3 linked regions of the Macaca mulatta genome follow. The protein of the gene in region 3 purifies or fractionates together with the protein of the main gene of each other region. This does not show direct contact. Links are inferred from orthologs where the notes say so. Each region holds a gene or a part of one and is shown on either strand. Other genes may lie near its edges.

Region 1 (7,305 bases), on a different chromosome or scaffold from region 3:
CGAAAGAATGAAAGGTCAAAAAAGTCAGAACAAAAGGGATGCAGAGACTTTTAAGTAGTCGGGGAACAGTCATACAAAAAGACCAAGAATAAGAGAAGGCTACTGGGTTTGGGGAAGGATCATCGCTGCCTTTTCAGAGAGCAGTATGTGTAGGATAGAGTTGGAAATAACTGGGTTAAGAAGTACAAGATGCAGGATACGTAGATTATTTTTCTAAACTCACTCTCACTCATGTACACACACACTGTCTTTTCCACTCCATGCTCCCTCTCTCTCTCTTTAAATGAGGAAAAAACCTGAATGCTACAGTTGGCAGAAAAGGAATGAATGGAGAAAGAGATTAAAGGTGCGAAGGAGACAGATGATTATGAACAAAACAAAACCAAAAGGAAGTAGGAGTTACCCTTGGGGAAGGGGATGTGAATCTTACACAGAGCTGCATTCAAAGGAAAAGTAGGGTAAATGGAGACTGTGAGTTAGAGAGTAGAGACACTGACCGTGGATGGCAGCTCTCTTCTAAAGAAAGTGGCTAAGCTCACAGGCTGTAGGTAAGGGAACAGAATTAAATGTTGACTTACAACCTGAATAGTGTAAAAAGAGTGGGAAAAAAAAGCAGGATACTTAAGTTACCAAAAAATTTAGGTTACTTTTAGCATTTGATGTTCTCCAATATTGTTGATCTTTTATGAAATTTTAAAGAATGTTAAAACTGTTGTTTTATAGTTATATAGTGTGTTACATTGATCTTTCATATTTTATTTTTGACATAACACTTGAAAGAAATAAGGTAGGTACTAGCATTTCTGCTTTACAGATGAGGAAACTGAAACAAAGATATTCTCTCCCAACAAGTAGAACACTATGCTTATCTCATAGAACTACCATAAAAATTAACTGTTCTGAAAGCCATGTATTCAAGGTAACTCCTAGGTCACATTTTCATGCTCAGTGCCCTCAAAACACATTGTCTGAATGAAAAAAAAGAAAAGAAAGCGTAAAAGTGTAGATTTAGTTAGGCTGCAGATATAAGGCATATGAATTTTCAGCACTAACATATTGTCATGCTAAATTAAAGTAAAGTACCCACCATCTGCCTTCATTACTCATAATTTAGAGCAGAAGCCACAACACTTGGTGCAAGGAGGACTTTTCTACAATTATAGTCGCCTATTATTAGAAAATAGATATACTCTGCAATTGCATGGTATATGCCAAATTATTCAGAAAGAAATAGAAATAAATAAGTAGTATGGTAGCTCCAAGGTGGAGAATACTTATTCCAATTGCTAAACTAAAGCAAAAAATTCCACAGTCCTGTCTACCTATTATAGATGGGAAAAGGCATTCTAATATAAATAAGCCACCTAAGGGAAACACATGAACACAAAACTATCAACAATGTGAGCGAAACCCAAATTTCTCAAAAGCCTTGGTTCACTGCAATAGTTTGAGTTGTTTTATACTGACGTTTTACAGGAAAATATTTTTAACTATCAAGAGATTTAATCTGATCACTGAAAGTCCTTGACAAAGAAGAAACAAACAGAATCACTGACCTGGAGTGCCCCCGTGGCTTTTATCTTCTTTTGTTTTTTTCAGGGGGAGGAAGGGGTACAACACAACATGATGTTCAACCACTGTGGCTTTTTAATGGCATCCTAAAGCTCTGCTTCTAATAGTACAGAGGAACTGAAGTCTATAATTTTTCAACTGTTATAAAACTTCCTAAGAATAACTTCCACCACTCGACACTCACTGATTTCTTGTTCAGTCATTTTAAAAAAATACTTCTTACTCTGGGTTGTACTTACTGTCGATTTGTAACTCTCTTTATTTTCAATAACATTTTAAACTTTCTGGTAATTTGATGTAAGTACGAAATGAGAGTACATCAAACTCACTATGTGATAAGTTTTTATATCAGGCCAGATTAATAAACCATAAAATCTCTTAAGATTTTATGTGAATTTTTTAAAAATAAAAATCTTAGGTTATTTTATATACAGACACGTTTTAAATATAAATTCAAGTTTAAGATAGGTTTTAATAAATGCAAGAAAATGTGAAATAAGGCTAGCCAATTTTAAAAACATTCTTTAACAATAAATCTTTGGATGGGGGAGGGCAATTGTCTACTTCAATAAATTAATTTTCATCCTTGCCTACTCAGATAACATACTGAAGAAATTCAAGTTAATAGAACAAATAAACAAAAACAATATTGGATTAAGAAGAAACTGAACTGAATCAAAGGCAGAGTTTGGCCATATTTTCAACAAACAGAATAACACAGTTATATATAAAACTACTATACTTGAAGTCTAGCATGAACACGGCCCATTTATAGGAAAGGGGTGATTATTAAAGACCAAAAAGATAATTATAATTAGGTCTGAATTCTGTATTATTATTTTATTCATTTAACTAGACCTGAAATCAGATAGAATACATTTTACATTAATAACTACATTTTTGCAATTTATACTTTATTTTTTTCCTGCTAAGCAGGCAAAATTCAGTGTTACAAACGTTATTACCAAAAAGCATTATTATTTTATTATATAAGTGGCTCTTGCATTTGTTTTTAAATGTCTATGCAAATTCTTACTAAAGAATGTATACTCTTTAATTAAAGCTTTAAAACATACTCTATTATGCAAAATGCCCAATATTTTAAAAAACTGAATAGTCTAAATTTCTGATGATGTATGTATGCTTAGAATTCTTTGCTCAATACTATTTTTTGTGACTTCCTTTCACAGTCCCTTCAGCAAAAACACCCCTTGTCACAACCTAGCCAAGAACAAAAAAAGCCATATGCATAAGAGTTCCCTGATTTCGGTGGCAAGGGATGAGATTTTTTGAAAGTTTCTAGCTTTTCTTCAGAGTTAGGTTATAAGGGAAAGGCTTATCTAGAAAAAATAAAAAATCACAGGCATAGATAAGGATGGTGTTGTTTATTTTAGTTGCTGTATATTTACCTTCAATTACAACAAATGCATAATCTCTTACCTGAGTGACTTTTCTGGATTCAGATTCACTTTCAGATTCTGACTCTGATTCAGAATCTGAAGAACTGTCTTCTATTGAACTAGATTCGGCATTTGAAGAATCTGAAGTTTTAGATTTTTCATTTTCCTTCTCCCCATCTTCAGAATCACTATATATAATAGTAAATTTTGAAATATCAACTTTAACTCCTTTATATAAGTCGTTTATATAAAAAATGGTTTTTAAATTCCAGAATACATTAATGAGGTAATAATGAAGGTATTACCCATAACCAAATAAATTAGAACCCACTCAAATTCAATTCTATCCTGTCATACACACTTCATATGCAAAAAGTCATAAAATGACACTAAACAATATAATCAAAAACAATGTAGAAAATATTAAATGTCTGATTTACCAAGAATTAAGTACTACCAGTAACAACTTCAAAGATATTTAGGCTGATTTTTAAAATGCTATCTCAAAATACTGTGTGTGTATACACATATATATATTGGAGACAGGGTCTCATTGTCATCTAGGCTGGAGTACAGTGGTGCAATCATGGCTCACTGCAGCCTCGATCTCCCAGGCTCAAGCGATTCTCCCACTTCAGCCTCACAAGTAGTTGGGACTACAGGCGGGCACTACCACATCCAGCTAATTTTATATTTTTTGTAGAGACAGGGTCTCACGATATTGCCTAGGCTGGTCTGGAACTCCTGGGCTCAAGTAATCCTCCCAACTCGGCCTACCAAAATGTTGGGATTACACGCTTGAGCCACCACACCCGGTTTAGTAATATATTTAAATATTTATATATCTACTTTTGCTAAAATAGACTTGTATTTTATACACTTTTCTACCCAAGAAAATTACTTACTACAAGTTCTCAAATGTGACCTTAAACACATTCTATGAGAAATGTGTTTCTGGTTAACAAAGGAACTTCTAAAGTACTATCTTGCTACAAATTTAAGCTAATCAAATATAAACTTTTAAATTACCAAATGATCATACCTAAGTGCTTAACACCATTCATTTGTTCATTTGTTCATCTGCTCAACAAATATTAATTAATTTTTGACTACATGTTGGCATTATGTTAGGTGCTAAGGATAACAATGGTTAAGAGGATCTATGTGTGTCTACCCTACAGAGTCTACAGTCCACTGGAGGATATAGATAAGGTGGCAGTGATAATACAGTATAGTAAGTAATAAATTATAGTGTGTCAGGAGAACATTTGGAGAGACACCTAAACAAACTTAATCCAATTAGGAATGCTTCCTGGAGAAAGAGACATATAAGCCAAGATATAGGAGTAAGGCTGGCAGATGGGCAGGGAAGCAGTTCTCCAAGGAGAAGGAATAACATGTGAGATGACCAAACACCCTTATCTCAGGGGATGAGAGATGCCTTGTGGTGTTTTATATTTTCCTGGAAACTAAAAGTCTAGTTCTCTCTACAACATGTGTGTGTATATTTTTAAGAATCTACTGTGGGCCAGAAAGGGCTAGGCATTTCATACCAATCATACTGATTACCTAATTTAAATGCACTCTTCCTGGGTACATTATTATCCCATTTACAATAATGAAATTAATATTCAGAAAGGTTAAATAACTTGCTCAGGGACACATAACAAGAGGGGCAGAACTAGAATCTGAACTCAAGCCTGTCTCACTCCAAAGTCCGTATTTTTTCCACTATGTCATACTATCTCCCTTCAAATGAAAACACTTTGGAGTGTAAAATTTAAATTCGGTCATAAATATTTATGATTACTAAAGGGTGGTTTTTGAAGATGCTTAAAGCTTATTAAGAGCTTTAAAAAATTATCATACTAGCAAAGTTAAAAAAACATTCTAAGAGGCAGAAAAATACTGGGGGAGGGAGAGGAGTGAGGCAAGGAAAGAATCGATATTTCCTAGAATTGATTTTTGTAGAGGAAATATGATTGCTGTTTATTAAAAATGGAGCCATGGCAACATCTCAGAGCACATGTAATTATATTTGAAGACTGAAAAATATGTTGTTGTTTTTCCCTGGCAAAAAAACGGCAATTTATTATCCCCAATTCACTGGTTAAAATGTGTACTTAAAAATATAAGGTTTAGAATGTATTTGTGGTTCTCTTTGTAATAAACAATTCTTTTAAATTCAAATGTGGGTAAAGAGAAAAATCTATTTCTGAAGAAAGGAATAATAAAACTAATACATGACTACAAATTTCTAGTATACTGACTTCTGCCATCTGAAAGGACATTTCATGCACTGAACAAAACTTTCCCTTTCTAGAAACAAGACATGTTTTATAACTCATATCATCATAGATATTCTGATATTAAACCAGAAGTACAGGATTTCTCTCAAAGACAAGGCTATTATAAACCAAGTAGCTCCTTTGCTGCAACAAGTGAATGATTCTAAATATATTTAACTTCTAGCTTTTAAGATAAGATTTTAAAAGTAAAAGTGTTATTTTATTATGCATCACTCAATTTTGATGGTAATTATTGTTTACCTTACTGCTTAGAGTTTCAGATGTTAATCTAATGAAAAGAATTTACTGGTAACTAGGTTTCTAACTTTGCAATGATGAAAAGCCTGTATTAATTTAACCTACAGATTTCATTTGTTCTGAACAGGAAAAACAATATAAATCACTTTTAAAATCATTAAATCCTGACTTAAATTAATAAAGTCATAATTAGGGCATTATGCTGTGTTTGTTATGGAAGTGGCAGGGCGAGCTGCTTTAATTACTGTCTGTAATAAAAGGAGCAGAGAGCGTACTGCGCCCCAATCAGTGCTGTCAGCCACGACTGAGCCGAGCTGCAAGCTCATCAAGTGAGCGGGCAGCAGGCTCCTGGGGAAAGGACCATCATGTCGGCAGAGGCCACTCACTGACAGCAGTGGGGAAAACAGAGTTGCACAATCCAAGATATTAGCCCCAATTACTCAAAATTTTAATGACACTTTAATACATGATAATGTTGTTGATAATGGGAGATCTTAAAAAGTGCTAACACTTAAAGCTCTTATGACCGTCTTCCTTCACAGCCCTTGACTCTAATATTTGGATCATAATCTTTTTAATATAACATTATTTAGAAAAATCAATTGTCTTGGTTACATAATGGCAAAGTGTTGAAGGATTTAATTTTAGCCCTCAGCAAAATTGCTACAAAAGGTAATTAAGTGTTTCATACCTATTGCTTGATCACTTAACTCAGCCTTCCAAGGTTATACCAATTTTCAAAATGTAACCCCAAGATATGTTCAAGTTCAAAATGAAAGCTAAGCATTACAAGTAGGAAAATAATGTGAACTAGCACTTTAATTTTAAAAAGATTTAATATCTGTTTGGGAAAAAATACACACTTCTTTTCTCTCATCATTTTTTGATTAACAAGAAACATCTGCCTGGGGCAAACTTTCACAGAATATTTTTTGAAGGAAATTCTGACAAAATACATTACCTTTTTCCTTTGGCTTTTGAGTTCCTCTTGGCTGTTCTTTTGTTTTCTAGGCCTGACTCCCTTCCACTCTCACTGTCCTGCTCACTGGAGGAGTCCTCACTGCTGTCCTCATTGCTGTCTCCTTCCTCCCCACTTTCGCCTTGCTCTCCACTTTCACTTCCAGATTCACTCTCTGAAAAACAGAACCAGATGTTCTTAGATTTATAGTCATTTAATTAGACACACGGACACCTGTAACTGTCAATATTCATCTCAAATGAAACCAGATGTTGAATTTTAGTTCAGTGGACACCACGTGTTTAACATTTCATTCCCATACCCCATTCTTTCAGCTCTATGGATTCCTTTAGCACGGTGAGTTTGGAGGGAGGCAGACAGAGAGAGGATGCTCTGACAATGAGTAGAGAAAAGCTAAGCAAAGATGAACCAAGTAAACCAAATTTGAGGGAATCTCACTTTTCAAACCCCAAAGTATATAGCTTTGTCAAAAACTTTCTTTTAAAGAATTACATAAAGATTGATGTAAGGCTAAAGAAATAATTTTAAATTCTTCTGCTTGTAATGGGAAATTCTATTTAGAGTAAAAGAAGGCAACAGTTTAATCTTCTTAGGAACAAATTTTGAGAGGAAAATGAGCCATTCAAATCACCTGGAAAAACTTCCAAATTCAAAGACAATAGGCAAATGACTAATTAAAGAGTTATTACTTATTCGAGCTAGTAAAGGAGTTTTCCATAGGTCAAAGAGATGATCAAGTTACATTGAGGAATTATACTTTTAAATGTTTTATGTATAAATTATGGTATGCTAGGACTCTCTGCAGAAG
Region 2 (7,305 bases), on a different chromosome or scaffold from region 3:
GCATGAGCCACTGCGCTCAGCCCATGCTGGCAGATTTAAAAAAACAATTTGTAGAGACAGAGTCTTGTTATGTTGACCAGATTGGTCTTGAGCACCTGGCTTCAAGTGATCCTCTGGCCTCTGCCTCAAAAAGTACTGGGATTACAGATGTGAGCCATTGTGCATCTGGCCTGCAATTTTTGTAGTGTGTACACTATACAGTGTACACTATATCCTTTTTTTTTTTTTTTTTTTTTTTTGAGACGGAGTCTCACGCTGTTGCCCAGGCTGGAGTGCAGTGGCGCGATCTCGGCTCACTGCAAGCTCCGCCTCCCGGGTTCCCGCCATTCTCCTGCCTCAGCCTCCTGAGTAGCTGGGACTACAGGCGCCCGCCACCGCGCCCGGCTAATTTTTTGTATTTTTAGTAGAGACGGGGTTTCACTGTGGTCTCGATCTCCTGACCTTGTGATCCGCCCGCCTCGGCCTCCCAAAGTGCTGGGATTACAGGCTTGAGCCACCGCGCCCGGCCCACTATATCCTTAAATTCCAAATCAAGAACTAAACAGAATTAGATACCTATTTGTATGATGTCCTTGTTATCCAAACCCTAGCTAATAGCTATCCTCAACTCAGGGACAAGTATATTCAGACAATGTGTAATCTCTCTTTCTTTTCCTCTCTCCCAAGCCGGAGTTTTGCTCTTGTTGCCCAGGCTGGAGTGCAATGGTGTAATCTTGGCTCACTGTAACCTCCGCCTCCCGGGTTCAGGCGATTCTCCTACCTCAGCCTCCTTAGTAGCTGGGATTACAGGCGTGCGCCACCATGCCCAGCTAATTTTTGTATTTTTAGTAGAGACGGAGTTTCACCATGTAGGTCAGGCTGGTCTCAAGCTCCTGACCTCAGGTGATCCACCTACCCCAGCCTCCCAAAGTGCTGGGATTACAGGCGTGAGCCACTGTGCCCCACCAATGTGTAATCTCTTGCTATCTAAACTGTTGCTACTGGAAAATGAGAACTCAACAGATTTGGAGAGCAAGAAATACTTACACTGTGTTATGAAACCTACTCCAAAGCAAACAAATAAAAAACGACCCCCAGGGCCAAACTGAATAAAAAGGGGATACTGTTTTTTTGAGACAGGGTCTTGCTCTATCACCCAGGCTGGAATGCAGTGGTGCGATCACAGCTCACTGCAGCCTTGATCTCCCAGGCTCAAGAGATTCTTCCACCTCAGGCTTCTGAGTAGCTGGGACTACAGGCATGTGCCACCATACCCAGCTAATTTTTAAGTTTTTTTTTTTTTTTTTTTTTTTTTTTTTTTTTTAGAGACAGGGTCTTCCTATGTTGCCCTGGCTGGTCTTGAGCTCCTGGGTTCAAGAGATCCTCTTGCTCTGGCCTCCCAAAGTGCTGGGATTACAGGTGTGAGTCACTATGCCCAGCATGTGCTTTTTAATATAAATGTTAGAAAATGGGAATAATTGTAATAGCGTCATCATTTATTGATTTCTTGAGCATCTCTGATGTGCTAGGCATCCCTTCAAGCATTTCCAAGGTAATAACTCAATCATTCCTCATAACAACTCTAAGTTGTTCTTATCTCTATCTTACAGATAAGGAAACTGAGGCACAGAGTTTAAATATAATTTCATTACGTCACATAAACAGTAAGAAAAATATGGCCTCAAAAATACACATACTTAATCAGTATATTATACAAGTATATAGATATGCTTTTAGTTTGAAAGAAGGATCTATTAAACATTTTAAGGAACTGGAGGACATTATGTTAAGTAAAATAACCCAGAAACAGAAAATTAAACACTGCAGGTTGTCACACATATGTGGAAGCTAAAAAAAAAAAAAGTTGATCTCATAGAATTAAAAAGTAGAACAGAGATGGATATGGTAATTACCTTGATCTGATCACTATATGTGTTGAAACATTACATATACGTTGAAACATTACTAAGCAACCCATGAATATGTACAATTATTATTTGTCAATTAATAAAAACTGAAGGTTTATAATTTTTTTTTGAGATGGAGTTTCACTCACGTTGCCCAGGCTGGAGTGCAATGGCACGATCTTGGCTCGGCACAACCTCTGCCTCCCAGGTTCAAGCCATTCTCCTGCCTCAGCCTCCCTAGTAGCGGGGATTATAGGCATGTGCCACCATGCCTGGCTAATTTTGTATTTTTAGTAGAGACAGGGTTTCTCCACGTTGGTCAGGCTGGTCTTGAACTCCCAACCTCAGGTGATCCGCCCGCCTCAGCCTCTGAAAGTGCTGGGATTACAGGTGTGAGCCACCGCGCCTGGCCACTTTTTTGTTTTTTTTTTTTTTTTCTTTTTGAGACGGAGTCTCACTCTGTCGCCCAGGCTGGAGTGCAGTGGCTGAATCTCAGCTCACTGCAAGCTCCGCCTCCCAGGTTTACGCCATTCTCCTGCCTCAGCCTCCCGAGTAGCTGGGACTACAGGCGCCCGCCACCCCAGCCGGCTAGTTTTTTTTTGTATTTTTTAGTAGAGACGGGGTTTCATCGTGTTAGCCAGGATGGTCTCGATCTCCTGACCTCGTGATCCGCCCGTCTCGGCCTCCCAAAGTGCTGGGATTACAGGCTTGAGCCACCGCGCCCGGCCTGTTTTTGTTTTTTTTTTGAGATGGAGTCTCCCGCTGTCACCCAGGCTGGAGTCCAGTGGTGCAATCTCGGCTCACTGCAAGCTCTGCCTCTCGGGTTCACGCCATTCTCCTGCCTCAGCCTCCAGAGTAGCTGGGACTACAGGCGCCTGCCACCACGCCCGGCTGATTTTTTGTATTTTTAGTAGAGATGGGGTTTCACTGTGTTAGCCAGGATGGTCTCAATCTCCTGACCTTGTGATCTGCCTGCCTCAGTCTCCCAAAGTGCTGGGATTACAGGGGTAAGCCACTGCGCCTGGCCCAAGGTTTATAATTCTTAAATCTTAATTTAAATTTTAAATTATAATCTGAAATCTATAATTTAAAACTTTAAGGATTATAATTATCTGTAGAACCCTCTGATAAAAAATATCCTCACCATTCAGCTTGTTTTCTCTGCTCTGCCAACTCATGGAGCCGCCGAAGGGCTTTTTCCTGTTTTTTCTCATCCTTGCGGGATCTTGAAGAGACATTTCGAGCAAACTCTCTCTGCTTGAGATCTTTTAATCTCTGGGTTAAAAGAAAGAAAGATACAGAGGGTGGATGATTTACAGTAACTTGGGAATCAGAAAGCAAAGCCTTTAGGACATGACCCTCAACCAACAGTCATAGTATTAGTGTAGAACACATTATCATATTCTCTTATGGCAACTGAAAACACAATGGCTGATTACTTTGGGTATAGCACTTGCAGTATCTACACTTCTAATTAGGACAGCATATCATTTGCTTTATTAGGCAAAATAAAATGATCTCAAATGCAACAAGCAAATTTTAGAACACTGGGAGGAAAGAAAGGGACCTGCTCCTCCAGGATGCAAAACTAGACAAACAGAACATGAGATAAATTGTAATAACACAAGCCAAAGAGAACAGAAAGGGGTTAGGCTAGTACAGAAAGTTACCCAGGTGTAAGATCTTGAAAAGCAATGTACAGCTTACATGGGGGGTTATTTGAATTAGAACAAATAGAAAGCATACTTTTATTTCACCATAAAAAGGTGTCATTTTTTTTTAGCATGAATAGAGGTTTCCCGTAACTATTAAATAAACCCGAGAGGTCTTCCAGCGCTAGCACGTTTAGAGCTCACCAGTCTGACCACTTTTATCTGGTCAGCCTGCTGAAAGTAGTATGTGAGGCTTTGCATTCCTTCATGGCCCTGAGAGGAATATCCAGGGGATGAGGAGGGAGAGCAGAGATAAGTCAAAGACTTTATTACTTAGAATCCAGATAACAGAATGGGTCTTTTATTTTCAGAAACTACTGTATAATTTTCCTTAAAAGAAATACAACCAAAAAAGAACAGTGTTATGACACACTGGTGACAGAACCCAGACATATCTATCTGCAATAAAGACAGAAATAAAATTATTTTCAAGACATTAGATAATAACAAGACACAAACAAAACAAAATATATACATTAGCCTATGCTTTTACAACAGCATTGGGAAAAGGAATTTGACCCAGTATAAAGTGGACATTGCTTTGTGGAAAGGCATGATGTTCAACAGACAGAGGAATTTTCTTACCTAGTATTTATGAAATGTGTTTTGAATCTTTTTAAATTGGGAGGGGGGAAGGGTAAAAAGACACACACAAAAAAAGATATACAGCTAAAGACACTAGTAGAAAAACTCACTCTTGTGATCTGGGCTCCCAAATTAGAAGGATTTGCTTTCAATACATCAGCTGAAAATGTCACATCACAAAGAAAAAAAAGTAAAAAATAAAACAAGAGTGGAAGAGAAAAAAAAAATAAAGCAAGCATTACTACACAAGCTCTCTTAGTGAATCTGTAAACTATTATACTGAACAATCAGGGACAAAGCCATCAACTCTAAAAGGGCTGGGGAGAAGGGAAGCACCTGTACAACATATATATGTGTACATACACACAGACTGACATAGTAATCCCACCTAGAAAAATGGAACTACCTGTATTTCTTCCAGAAAAATGGTTCCAGAACTTTGGAAAAGACCATTGTGGTACAAAAAGCAGTCCTGTTTCCATGAGCCCTTATTTTGGGGGAAGTTCAAGTAATGAACAGCTGGCAAAACTATTACTGCCCATAATTAACAATTTTTTTTTGAGACGAAGTCTCTGTTGTCCAGGCTGGAGTGCAGTGGCGCGATCTTGGCTCACTGTAGCCTCCGCCTCCCAGGTTTAAGCAATTCTCATGCCTCAGCCTCCCAAGTAGCTGGGATTACAGGCATGCACCCCTATGCTTGGCTAATTTTTATATATTTAGTAGAGACGAGGTTTCACCATGTTGGCCAGGGTGGTCTTGAACTCCTGGTCCCAAGTGAACTACCTGCCTCGGCCTCCTAAAGTGCTGGGATTACAGGCATGAGCAACCACACCCAGCCCACAATTAAGATTTTTATAAAACCACTTCAAGATAAAGGATCAACTATTTTAAATAAATATGAATAAATATGAATTCTAATTTCATCCTCCTGAGGGGAATGGGGCAGAAAGAAAAGGCTTATCAGGTCTATTATATGATTACCTTTGGCCACAAACCTAGTTTTTTCTTCCCCAAACACGTAATAGGCTCTCTAACCAAGATTTATATAGAATATAATGTTCTTCTCATATCTGCCATTTTCTCTTTTTTTTTGAGACAGAGTTTTAATGTCGCCCAGGCTGGAGTGCAGTGGTGTGATCTTGGCTCACTGCAACCTCTGCCTCCTGGGTCCAAGCAATTCTCCTGCCTTAGCCTCCCGAATAGCTGGGACTACAGGTGCCTATCACCACGCTCGGCTGAGTAGAGATGGGGTTTCCCCTTGTTGACCAGGCTGGTCTTCAATTCCTGACCTCAGGTGATCCGCCCGCCTCGGCTTCCCAAAATGATGGGATTACAAGGCATAAGCCACTGCACCCAGCCTGCCATCTCTCTAGCCACCTGCTAAGACTGGAAAATTTCCCCATGCCATTTCCTCCCCTCTTACAAATATTTCATTACTTTTAGGAAGCATTTTTCAAACTACAAGACACTGTCCAAAAGAACAATCATTTAATCAAAGTATGGAGTCCCCAGGCTGAGTCAAGATTAGGCTTTCCATTCAACAGCCACTTTGTACAACCCTGAAGTTGAAGGAACAGGACCATGTCCACATCATGCTGAAGACATCCTATCTCAAGTTCCTACCACAGGAACATGGTTGGAGGCAGAGACGGAAGAAGATAGGATGATGCAATAAAACGAATCTAAACTGCAGGCTCCCTCTGGGCAAATCCTAAGAATACCCTACAAAGCTTAGGAAAGGCTCCCAATATCACATTTACAAATTTTACAGTCAAGTCTGCGGTCTCAAAAGCAGAATTGAGAACCCCAGAATTCTAACCCCAACCTTAAGAGACAGGACTCAGCAAACCCTATCAAACTGAGTATGTATACTTGTGGTTTCTTTCAGACGAGGACATTCTGTTCTGGCGACTTTTTTTTTTTTTTTTTAAGAGACAAGGTCTCACTTTGTTGCCCAGGCAGGAGTGCTGGGGCTATTCACATGTGTGATTCCACTACTGATCAGCATGGGAGTTTTGACCTGCTCTGTTTCCGACCTGAACCGGTTCACTTCTCCTTAGGAAGCTTCGTTGGTCCCCCGCTCCTGGGAGTTCATCACATGATGCCGAACTTAGTGCAGACACCCAATCAGCAGAGCGCACTACAGCTCAGAACTCTCGGGCTCAAGTGATGCCCCCAGCCTCAGCCTCCCAAGAAGCCAGGACTATAGGCATGCACCACTACGCCCAGCCAAGACATGGGTTATAAGGTTCATATTTTCCTTTACCTAGAATGCCTAACTCCAAGTGTCTCCTGTCTACTCAAGGTCAAACTAAATTCTTACAGTCTCCACTGATCCTTCAAAACAGGGGACTGTTCTTTCTGAACTGTCCCTAGTGGTGCTTTGTCATATCGTTCACCTAGCAGCTATTGTATTTTGTTCTCTGACCAGTTATTCCTGTCTTTTAAAAAGGCAGTATGTGTAAAGCTTCAGAGTCAGAAAGCTTGGGTTCAAATCCATTAATTAACTAGCCAATCCACTTATTACTAGATGATTTCACCTCTCTGAGTTCCAGCTCCCTCATTAAAAAACAGGGCTACCTATCTACAGATTTACAAGATTAAATGTCAAAATAAATGTAAAGCATTTAATAAGTCACAAGTGTTCAATACTGCCTTCCCTCTGTGTGGGGCAGGGACTACAGCTTATCTTTATAATCAACCCCGCAGTATACAAAACAGCACTAAGTCTACAGAGGGCATCTGGTAAATGTCCAGTGAATAATTCAGTTCAAACATTAGATCCTTCGTTTTTCCTCAAATAAATTTTTCTACCATTTGTAGGAAAGCTTGATATAAAGTATTCTCATATCTTTATTAGGGACATATTAAAGTTATATAATATGGTCCTCCTAGCTACCACTCCAGATACCCCTTATTTCTAGACAGAATTGGGCCAAATGGCAAAAGATGCTGGCCAGAAACTTCTCAGCTTCCTACCTAAAAAGTAATTTCTATAAAGGCACAAGGACCTAATCAGTCAGGTTTTCCAAAATTGCCTATTTTATTCCAAAAGGCTACCAATGTCTGGCTCATTTGTTATGGAATACCCATGTGAAATTCTGTGAAGTGTACCTATACTT
Region 3 (8,089 bases):
GAGCAGAACTGAATCTCTTCTTTCATTGTTATTGCTGACATTGTAAGGTAGTTTGTGCAACACATTGTCCAAAACAATCCTGATGCTCCAAGGCCAGACTCAAATGGTCCTTTTCTGAGATACCTTCCACAACCTCCATGCCCCACCCCCCACCCCACTCCAACAGCTCCCGGCTCTACCAGTGTGGTGTGGGCGGGAGGTTTTGTGCATGCCTGTCCCTGATCCTGGCCCCAGCTTTCAGCTCTGCATATGCACTCATGCCCACTGGGGCCCAGGGCTGGTCATGGGGGTCTATCTCTACCACAGAAAGCTGGGCCTCCACCCCATAATGTCAGCCTGGAGCCATGTCCTGCAGCCTCAAGGCTGAGATGGGAACAGATCTGTCTCCCCTGCCCCCTACTATGGCTGCCTAAATTTCAGCCAGTCACTCCTCCTCCTCCTCCTCACCAGTCTAACTATACTGGCTTGGGGCCCCGGACTTGGCCCCAGGGCAAGGAGAGGAGAAAGAGGGGCCTGGCTTTCAATTAGCACCCTGGTTCCCTCTGCCCACCCCCACTCCACCATCTGCTATCCACTGTTGCTCCCTGGGAGGCTTCCGGTGTGTGCACCAAGCCCTGGGCACCTGCTTGCAACAAAGGAGAACTGGGAGGAACAGTCTAGGGACAGCTCTCAGAAAGGGAGGAGGCCAGGTGGAAGGGGTGTGCATTTCTCACCCCCATGGCCCAGACCCAACACCCAACAATGGAGAGCTCTCCTCTCAGCAACACAGGACCTGAGCTTTTCCTCAGGTACACTTAGGCCATGGAAGGGCACGGGAGCCCCACAACAGTCATTTCCCTAGAGACATGGCTCCCTCCACTCTCTGCAGAGGAACTGAACAGTATGCACTGCGGGCTGCCCAAAGGGAGCTTGTGGGGAGTGCAGGCCCTGGTGCTGCCACTGCCCTCCAGCTGGCTCTCAGGGAGCCTGACAGCCAAGCACTCCCCAGTTACAGCCTGCTCCCAGGGCCCGACCACTGGGCTCAGGGAGTTGAGCCTCCAGCAATCCTGAGGGGTCCTCTGTTGCTGCCCTGGTGACAAATGGTCCCCCAAGGACTCTACTGCATCTTTAGGTAAGTCTGACCCAGGGAAAGCCCAAACAAAACAAAGGCCAAGAGGTCCAGAGGCCCCACATTGGGGTCCTGTCCCCTCCTCCACTGAGATCATCCTGGTTCAGGCCCTACCTGTCATAGACATAAACAGACTTTCCTGCTACCTTGGTCCCCTGCCATGTGGGACTCCAGAGTTTGCAGTAAATCTAGGGAGGCCAGGAGAGGCCCAAGAGGCCTCCAGCTGCCTCCCAACAACTGTAGGCAGCACCTCCCAATTTAGTGGTAGCTGTGAACACCAGCCTGCAGGCACCCCCTACTCTCTGCTGCTCTACTCTCTCAAGGACTGGGGCTGGATTTCCTGCTGCAATGAACATGCTGAAGCCCAAGCCCTGCCTAACTCACAGCTGAGGTGTCACCCACAGGAACAGGGGAGCTGAAGACCTCACTCAAGGTCTATTAGGAACAAGGGCCAAGCTTCTAGACCACCATCCAATTGCTTCAGGGGACTGGTCAAGGGGCTGCCCTGACTGAGCCTCAGGCTCCAGCTAAATCATGGTAGAAGTTCCTACAGCTGAATTTTGCCCATCTAATGAAGGAGTATTGTGGGGAGGTCTCTCCAATCTTGGGGGTGGGCATGCAGTCCAGTGCTACGTCCTGAAAGTTTGGCTCTCAACATGCAGGCAGAGGCAAAGGTCAGCTGTCTCCTCCCAAGCACTTGGGGTCCAAATCTCTGAACCCCTGAAGGAGAATCCACTGGAGGCTCTGCTTCCCTGTGGGTGGAGGAGGGGAAATGCAGAGGAAGGCACTAGAGTAAAGGGTTGCTATGGTGATGGAAGTTTTAAAACAAGGGGAGGGGGAGGGGAGATGTGTTGGTTAGGTCCCTTCTTCAAGAATTCCCTGAGACTTTAGCCTGGCTCCTTCTTCAAGGTTCTGTGACCCAGGTCCCCATCAATAAAGAGGAGGTGGGGAGATTGAGAGAATTTAGAAAAAAGAGAATGGGGCAGAGACACAGACAAAGACAGAACCTGTGATGGAAGAGGAGCAAGGAGATGACAAAGTAAAAGGGACACAGGCACAAAGGGCAGGAAAGGGGAGGTGGACAGGAGTTCTGAAGGGGACGGATGGGTGCCCAGCAGAGCCCTAAGGCCTCCATGGCTATGTGCTCTAAATCGCTGGGCCAGGAGCTATCCATGGTACCTGGACCTTCCAGCTTGCACCCTCCTGTATCCCCCAAACATACACTGAACTTGGCATAGGAGGCACAGCCAAAAGGAGGCCAGCTCCTTGGAGCATCTTGGTGAGGAAGAGGCCAGCTGCTACAGCCCCCCAGTCAGGACAGTTCCCAGCCCATCTCTCTGCCATCACGGCAGCTTAGGTAAAGCAGGTCCAACATGTTGAAGGCAGACGCATAGGGGGATGGAAATGAGGCTTGGATGCCTAGTTGCTTCCCTTTATAGTCCCTCTTCTCAGTTGGCCCAGCTGTACCTAGACCCTCCCAGCCAACCCCTCCCCCATCTGCTATCCTCTCCAGGCTTTGGGTCCCCAGAGCCCCTCTTACAGCTCTGCTTAATCCCCTCTCACCACCCCCAACAGCAGATCCTGCCATGAATGCCAGAAATGGCATCACAAGCAACCCAGAAACAGAATAACTGCACAGCCCTTCCCCTCCCCATGCCTCAGTTTCCCCAAATAGAAACCATGGAATCTGGCCTTCTCCCAGGGCAGAGGACTGCTTGCTTGCCACTGCTTGCTTGCTTGCCTGTGAATGGTGGCCAGGGCATGGGGCTGGAGAGTAAGGCCATCAGAGATATGTGAACAGCCAGCCTAGGAGGGACACCTGAAGGGTCCGCACCAAATACTGTATTAGAAAAGGGAGACCCTTGCCCCACCCTGGAAACCAACCTGACCTTGAGGGGAGTGGAGACACCAATTTCCCAGTTGAGGAAACTGAGGCTCAGAAGTCGCTGGAGCTGCCAGGAATCAACTCTGAGGGTGGGGGAGGGCACCAGGTCTCTGAAGGTAGTCCTGGGGGCTCAAAGCCTGGACTTGGGGGTAAGGGGAGTACAGCACAGGAACTGGACTACTGCAGACTCTGAGCTTTTAGTGTGGGACAGAGGGCCCTGATCCTTAGGAAGGAACCTGGTGGAGCAGGCTCTGCCTGGGAGGTGAGGACAAAAGCAATTTGGCAGAGCTACACGGGGAGGGGGCTGGGGCTCAAGAGCCCAGGGTCTCTGCCAGACAGTACAAGCTGGGGAAGGCAGAAGCTCACGCTGTCACTATCCCAGCCACCTCCTGCCAGGGGCCCTGCTCCCCACCGTGGTGCCACCCTGACCCCCTTCCCAAGTGCTGCTGGCTCGCCCCCGCTGGCACAGCAACACACATGCGGAAAGCACACGTGTGAGCACCAAGCCCCGCACCTCCCAGCAGGAACATGTGCGCCCCCACCCCCACCGTGCACGTGGGTCCATGCACTGGACCCCCGGCTAGCCCCCAGGTGAAGGCTTAGAAGCGGAATTTTGGCTGGGGGGCTGCTGGTCCCCAGGGGCTTGGAGCTTCCTCCCCCACTCCGCGGCAGCCCCGCCCAGCCCCCTCCGGGTTGTCGCCCATAAAGAACTCTCCGTTGTCATGGAAATTAGTGACTGCTAAGCTGGAGGGAAGGGGCCCGGGGACAGTTGGGAGGGGCTGGAGGCGGCTCTGGGAACGGGGAGGGACGGCTCAGCTCTCGGCCCCTATCCTCACGGGGGACCACGAATCTTCGAGGGTTAATCTTTTCATAATTCCGAGCCGCAGAGGCTTCCCCCCAGGATCCCCAAGCCGTCCGAGGTAATGGGGAACTTTAGCCCGACCCCGCACTCCGTCCCCCAAATCTGCAAAGCCCGCGCGCTCTGACCCCGCCAGGACCTCGAGCCCTCACTGCGCCCCCGCGCACTCTGCATCCCGAACCTCGAGCCAGGGAACCAATCCCCCAAGGCCCCACAACGTGAGTTCGGGAAGCGCCCCCAGCCCGGCCAGCCCCGCACCTGCAGCGCCGGTTGGTCACACGGAGGAAGTGATCGCGGGCTCAGCGGGGCGCCGAGGGCTCCGGGGACGGCGGGTAGAATCCGCTCCGAGCACGCGGGGCAGACGCGGCGCCAGATGCAGCCGCTTCGGCTAGCGAACCTCTAGCATCGCCAGCCGCTTGCCGGCACCGGATTCGCACCCCGGGCCGGGGGCGGGCTGGGGGCGGGGCCTCCCAACCGGCCCCGCCCCGACCCTGGCGGAGCCTTAAGGGCAGAATCCCACTGGAGAGCAGGCTCGCGCGGGATGGCAGCGGTGCTGGTGAGCACTGGCCTGCTTAGCCCTGGCTAAGGTTCTCAACGGCTTCCTTAGGCCCTCAGCCTGGGGTCGGAGGGGGCCTCCTATGCCCAATGTAAGGGGTGGGGAGTGGAGAGTTGGGGGAAAGCCTGAGTCCTTGAGCTGCATAGGATCGCTTGCCAGCCATTAGTCTCTAGGGAACCGGGGCTTTGCCCAGCTCCCCGAACCCGACCCAAAAGGCAGGACCAACTTAGAAAAACCAGATGGGCAGTCGGGCTAGGGCAGGCTCCCCTACAGACTGGCATCCCCTAGCTAGGAGCAGTTAATACACAGAGGTGTCTGTTTGCAGGTAGTCAGTGTGAAAACAGTGAGTGCCCTAGACTCTGGAAGCAAAGTCTCCTATCCCACCCCACCCCCAACTCCTGCAAGGCCAGTCTTTCCCAACCATAAGCCCCAGCAAGGGTGACTGGCACAGTCAGCCCCCTCCTGTATGGCACCAAATTTCCCAAACTATAAAAGTCACCTGTGACATGGTGTGGCCTCTGCTTTCTTTTCAGTCTAATCACTCTCAAACACTTCATGACTAGCATCACTCTAGGTGGCCTGGCCTGGGATATAGGGACACAGGAGAACTGTGGCACCAAGGTATCTCACCCGGCCTGGGCGCTAATCAGAGGGAGGAGGCTCAGAACCACCAGGAGGAAGCTTTGAAGGAAGTCCTTGGCCATTTCTCTGTCCCTTGTCAGTGAGGCTCATGGACCCAAAGCCTGACCCACACCCCTCACAAGCCCTGAGGACCATCCTAAGGCCAGTATCTGAAAGCCAGACTCAGGCCTCTCAGTGTCTGGAGCTGGGCTTTATCCCACCCCACTCCTCCCAGCAAGCCTCCTGACCCTGCTGTGGGAGAGGGAGTTGGGGTCATCCCCAAACCCTCAGCCATCTTGAGGCTCCCCTGCATGGCCACCCATGGCCGATGACAGGAGGGACTGTCCAAGTCCAGAAGCTGGGGCTGGGGCTCAGACTGGAAGGCTAGCTTAGGAAATGACCGCCTCAAACAAGGTTCCTCAAAATTTTCCTCCAGAGTGGGTACTGAGCCCTTCACATTCCTCCCTGGCTTGGGGTTACCTCCTCTGGGCCAGGCTGGTGCCACTTCTGGGGTCCCTGGGTTCTGAGTGGTCTCGGGTTATGGGATCCACCCCACCACTGGGTAGGAATCTCCTGGCAGGCTGGGTATCTGCAAGGCAGAACCCGTTTCTCATATCAGTATGCTCGGCTGATGTCTGCAGAGTGAATGAATGGCCTGGCACTGAGTCCTTCCTGCCATCTGCCCACTATTCTTGAAACAATGGGTCTCTGAGTTTTATGGTGTAGCCAAGCTGTGGCTTGCTGACCCCACACATGCCACACACTTGTTTTCTGTCTTTCCTGAGGGTCATGGCTATCCAGGCATGGGGTCAAGGAGAAGCTGGAATGGGGATGTTTAGGCAGGGGAAGGGGTGGCTTCTTAGCGCCCTGCCTGCTGCTGGCAGTACTCCACCTCTTCTTGGTCCTAAGCACGCTCTGTGCATGTGGGTGAGAGCACGTGGCAGGGTGTGTGTGCACACGTGTACGTGTGTGTATGCTGTCTTTTGCCGAGGGAGATGCAACAGCATAGTGTATGCAATGGTGCCCAGGGGCACGTGTGTCTGCATTCTTTGTGCACCCAGGCATGCTTGCTGGCACGTGTGTGTGGACTCTGTAGCTGGTCCCTGGAGTTGTCAGTCCCCTTCCTGCCTGACACAAGTCTCAGGATTGTGGAGACTGAATCAGGCTTTGAGAGCCGGACATGGGAAGGGGGCTGGACCATGTCCAGGGGCGGGCAGGGTCTGTGCTGACCCTACATCATTGGTTGTTTTCAGGCTCCCCACCAGAGCAGCCCCTTGATCTCTGGTGTATGTGAAGATAGACAAGTCTTTGCCATTTGTGGAGGGCAATCTGAAGACAAGAACCCAAGGCTAGGATTGAGCCATGGCTTATCCCTCAGCCCGCAGACAGGAAGGCACAGGCAGGGTAGGACCGGCTTCAATGTTTTGGCTTCACCTCCAGCTGCCTTTCAGGCAGGAGATAGTAACACCAGCTGAATGCCATCCTCTTAGCTCTTCCAGGGCAGGGACTGGACCAATGCTGAGCTTTGTTCTTACTTCTACTATTCAAAGCCAGATGGGGTCAGGGGACATGATTTCTTACCACTCCACTGGCCAGAGGGATGGCAGGAAGTCCTTTAGCACAGAGCACAGTTTGGAAGAAGAGCAGAGGCAATTGAGATTGGCATTGCCTAGTAGCCTTTATGAGGATACTCCTAAGGAGGCCTGTTCCCTGAAGACAGGGGCTGCCTGGGTTGGGAGGCTGAGGAGGAGAAGAGGGCCCAAGTTCATAGTTCTGGCTCCCACCAAAGCTAGAAAGTCCGAGTGGCATAATAAGGTGTGAGCCTCAGTATCCACAGAACTTCATCCCCCAGCTCAGGTTGGGCGCCCTACCCAGGATTCAGGACTTATCTGCGCCCCCAACTCCTTGCCCTAGGGTACCAAAGGCCAGCACTCCCATGCCCTTAGATTCTGGCTGGCTGATAGAAGCCCCTGCTAACCCAGCATAGAGCTCCAGCAAAGGTTCAGACTGTAGGAGGTACCTAGATTACCAGTGCAGCTCTCCCAAGAAGCCTGAACTCTGACAGAACCCTCCCGCCCCAGGCTCCCAGCCATCTTTGAAACTGCCTGACTGTTGTCCATGTTGCTTGGCTTCAGCCCCTAGAAGAGGGCCCACAATAGGGAAGGCAAGCAGTCTTTTCCTCTGGAGCCAGGGGAGGGGGCTACCTCCCCGCCCCCCACCCTGTGACTCACTCCAGGCTGTGTGGGTTATTACATTATGTTTGAAATTGCCATGGCAACAAGCTGGCAATCAAGGGTAATTGCACTTGTCGTCAGGGCAACGGGGCAAAACCCACAGCAGCCACTCTCTGTGGTTGCCCTTGGGGTGTAGTAAAGGTCAGACCAGATCAGAGCCAATGCCAGTCAAGGGGCTCCAGGGCTGTCTAGAAAGGGTAGGTTGCCAGGGCCCATGGAGTTCCAGAGTGCAGAGGCAGAGCATGCCTTGGGAGAGCCAGGGCCCCTATCCATGACCCCATGCCTGGACTCCTGCTTTTCCCACACCACCCTGTGGCTGAAACATGCCACGGCACTTAAAGCAAGCAGAACCAGAACTTTTATCTGCTTACAGCTGGTACTTATAGATAGCCCATGGGCCCTCTTCCTCATACTCCCGGCGGCTGAGCCACAGGTTCTGGAAGGAGCTGCGGGATGCCATGATGGAGCCCCCAAGCCAGGCAGCAACTGCACGGTGGGGAGACCCCAGCACAGCGGCACCAGGGCCCAGCTCCTGTCTCAGGCGCTCGGGGAAGCCACTCACAAGGGTGCTGCCACCGTCCAGTACCACGTTGGCCAATAGCTGCTCCTGCTGCTTGGCCTCCAACCGGCTGATGCTTAGGAGGGCCAGCTGTGGGAGGCCCGGCTGGTTGAGACCTATCAGATTGGGTTGGAAGAGGGCCTCGGGGCAGCAGAAGCGCTCAGAACCCAGCGTGATAACCTGCTTGTCTGGAAGCACAAAGTTCACCTGGGCCTGCACTTGGGTGCGGGCCCTCTCAGCTGCCACATCCATGGCCACATAGCAGCA

What was found. Proteins that work in one complex are often made in the same cells at the same time.
Region 1: the proteins of CAMKV (region 3) and AP3B1 purify together in Homo sapiens (affinity purification with mass spectrometry; 3 studies listed by BioGRID and IntAct, counting the BioPlex papers as one, with this or other methods). This does not show direct contact. The link is inferred for Macaca mulatta from reciprocal best matches to the Homo sapiens genes CAMKV and AP3B1.
Region 2: the proteins of CAMKV (region 3) and GPATCH8 purify together in Homo sapiens (affinity purification with mass spectrometry; 3 studies listed by BioGRID and IntAct, counting the BioPlex papers as one, with this or other methods). This does not show direct contact. The link is inferred for Macaca mulatta from reciprocal best matches to the Homo sapiens genes CAMKV and GPATCH8.

The regions. Positions count from the first base shown.
Region 1 is NC_133411.1:84,461,592-84,468,896, forward strand, and holds part of AP3B1 (AP-3 complex subunit beta-1), read right to left. Parts: intron 6,652-7,305; coding exon 6,480-6,651; intron 3,161-6,479; coding exon 3,013-3,160; intron 1-3,012. UniProt on the Homo sapiens protein: Subunit of non-clathrin- and clathrin-associated adaptor protein complex 3 (AP-3) that plays a role in protein sorting in the late-Golgi/trans-Golgi network (TGN) and/or endosomes.
Region 2 is NC_133421.1:68,781,029-68,788,333, forward strand, and holds part of GPATCH8 (G patch domain-containing protein 8), read right to left. Parts: intron 4,344-7,305; coding exon 4,294-4,343; intron 3,162-4,293; coding exon 3,031-3,161; intron 1-3,030.
Region 3 is NC_133407.1:113,342,557-113,350,645, forward strand, and holds the start of CAMKV (caM kinase-like vesicle-associated protein), read right to left. Parts: upstream 4,293-8,089; 5' UTR 4,111-4,292; intron 3,805-4,110; exon of another isoform or gene 3,731-3,804; intron 1-3,730. UniProt on the Homo sapiens protein: Does not appear to have detectable kinase activity.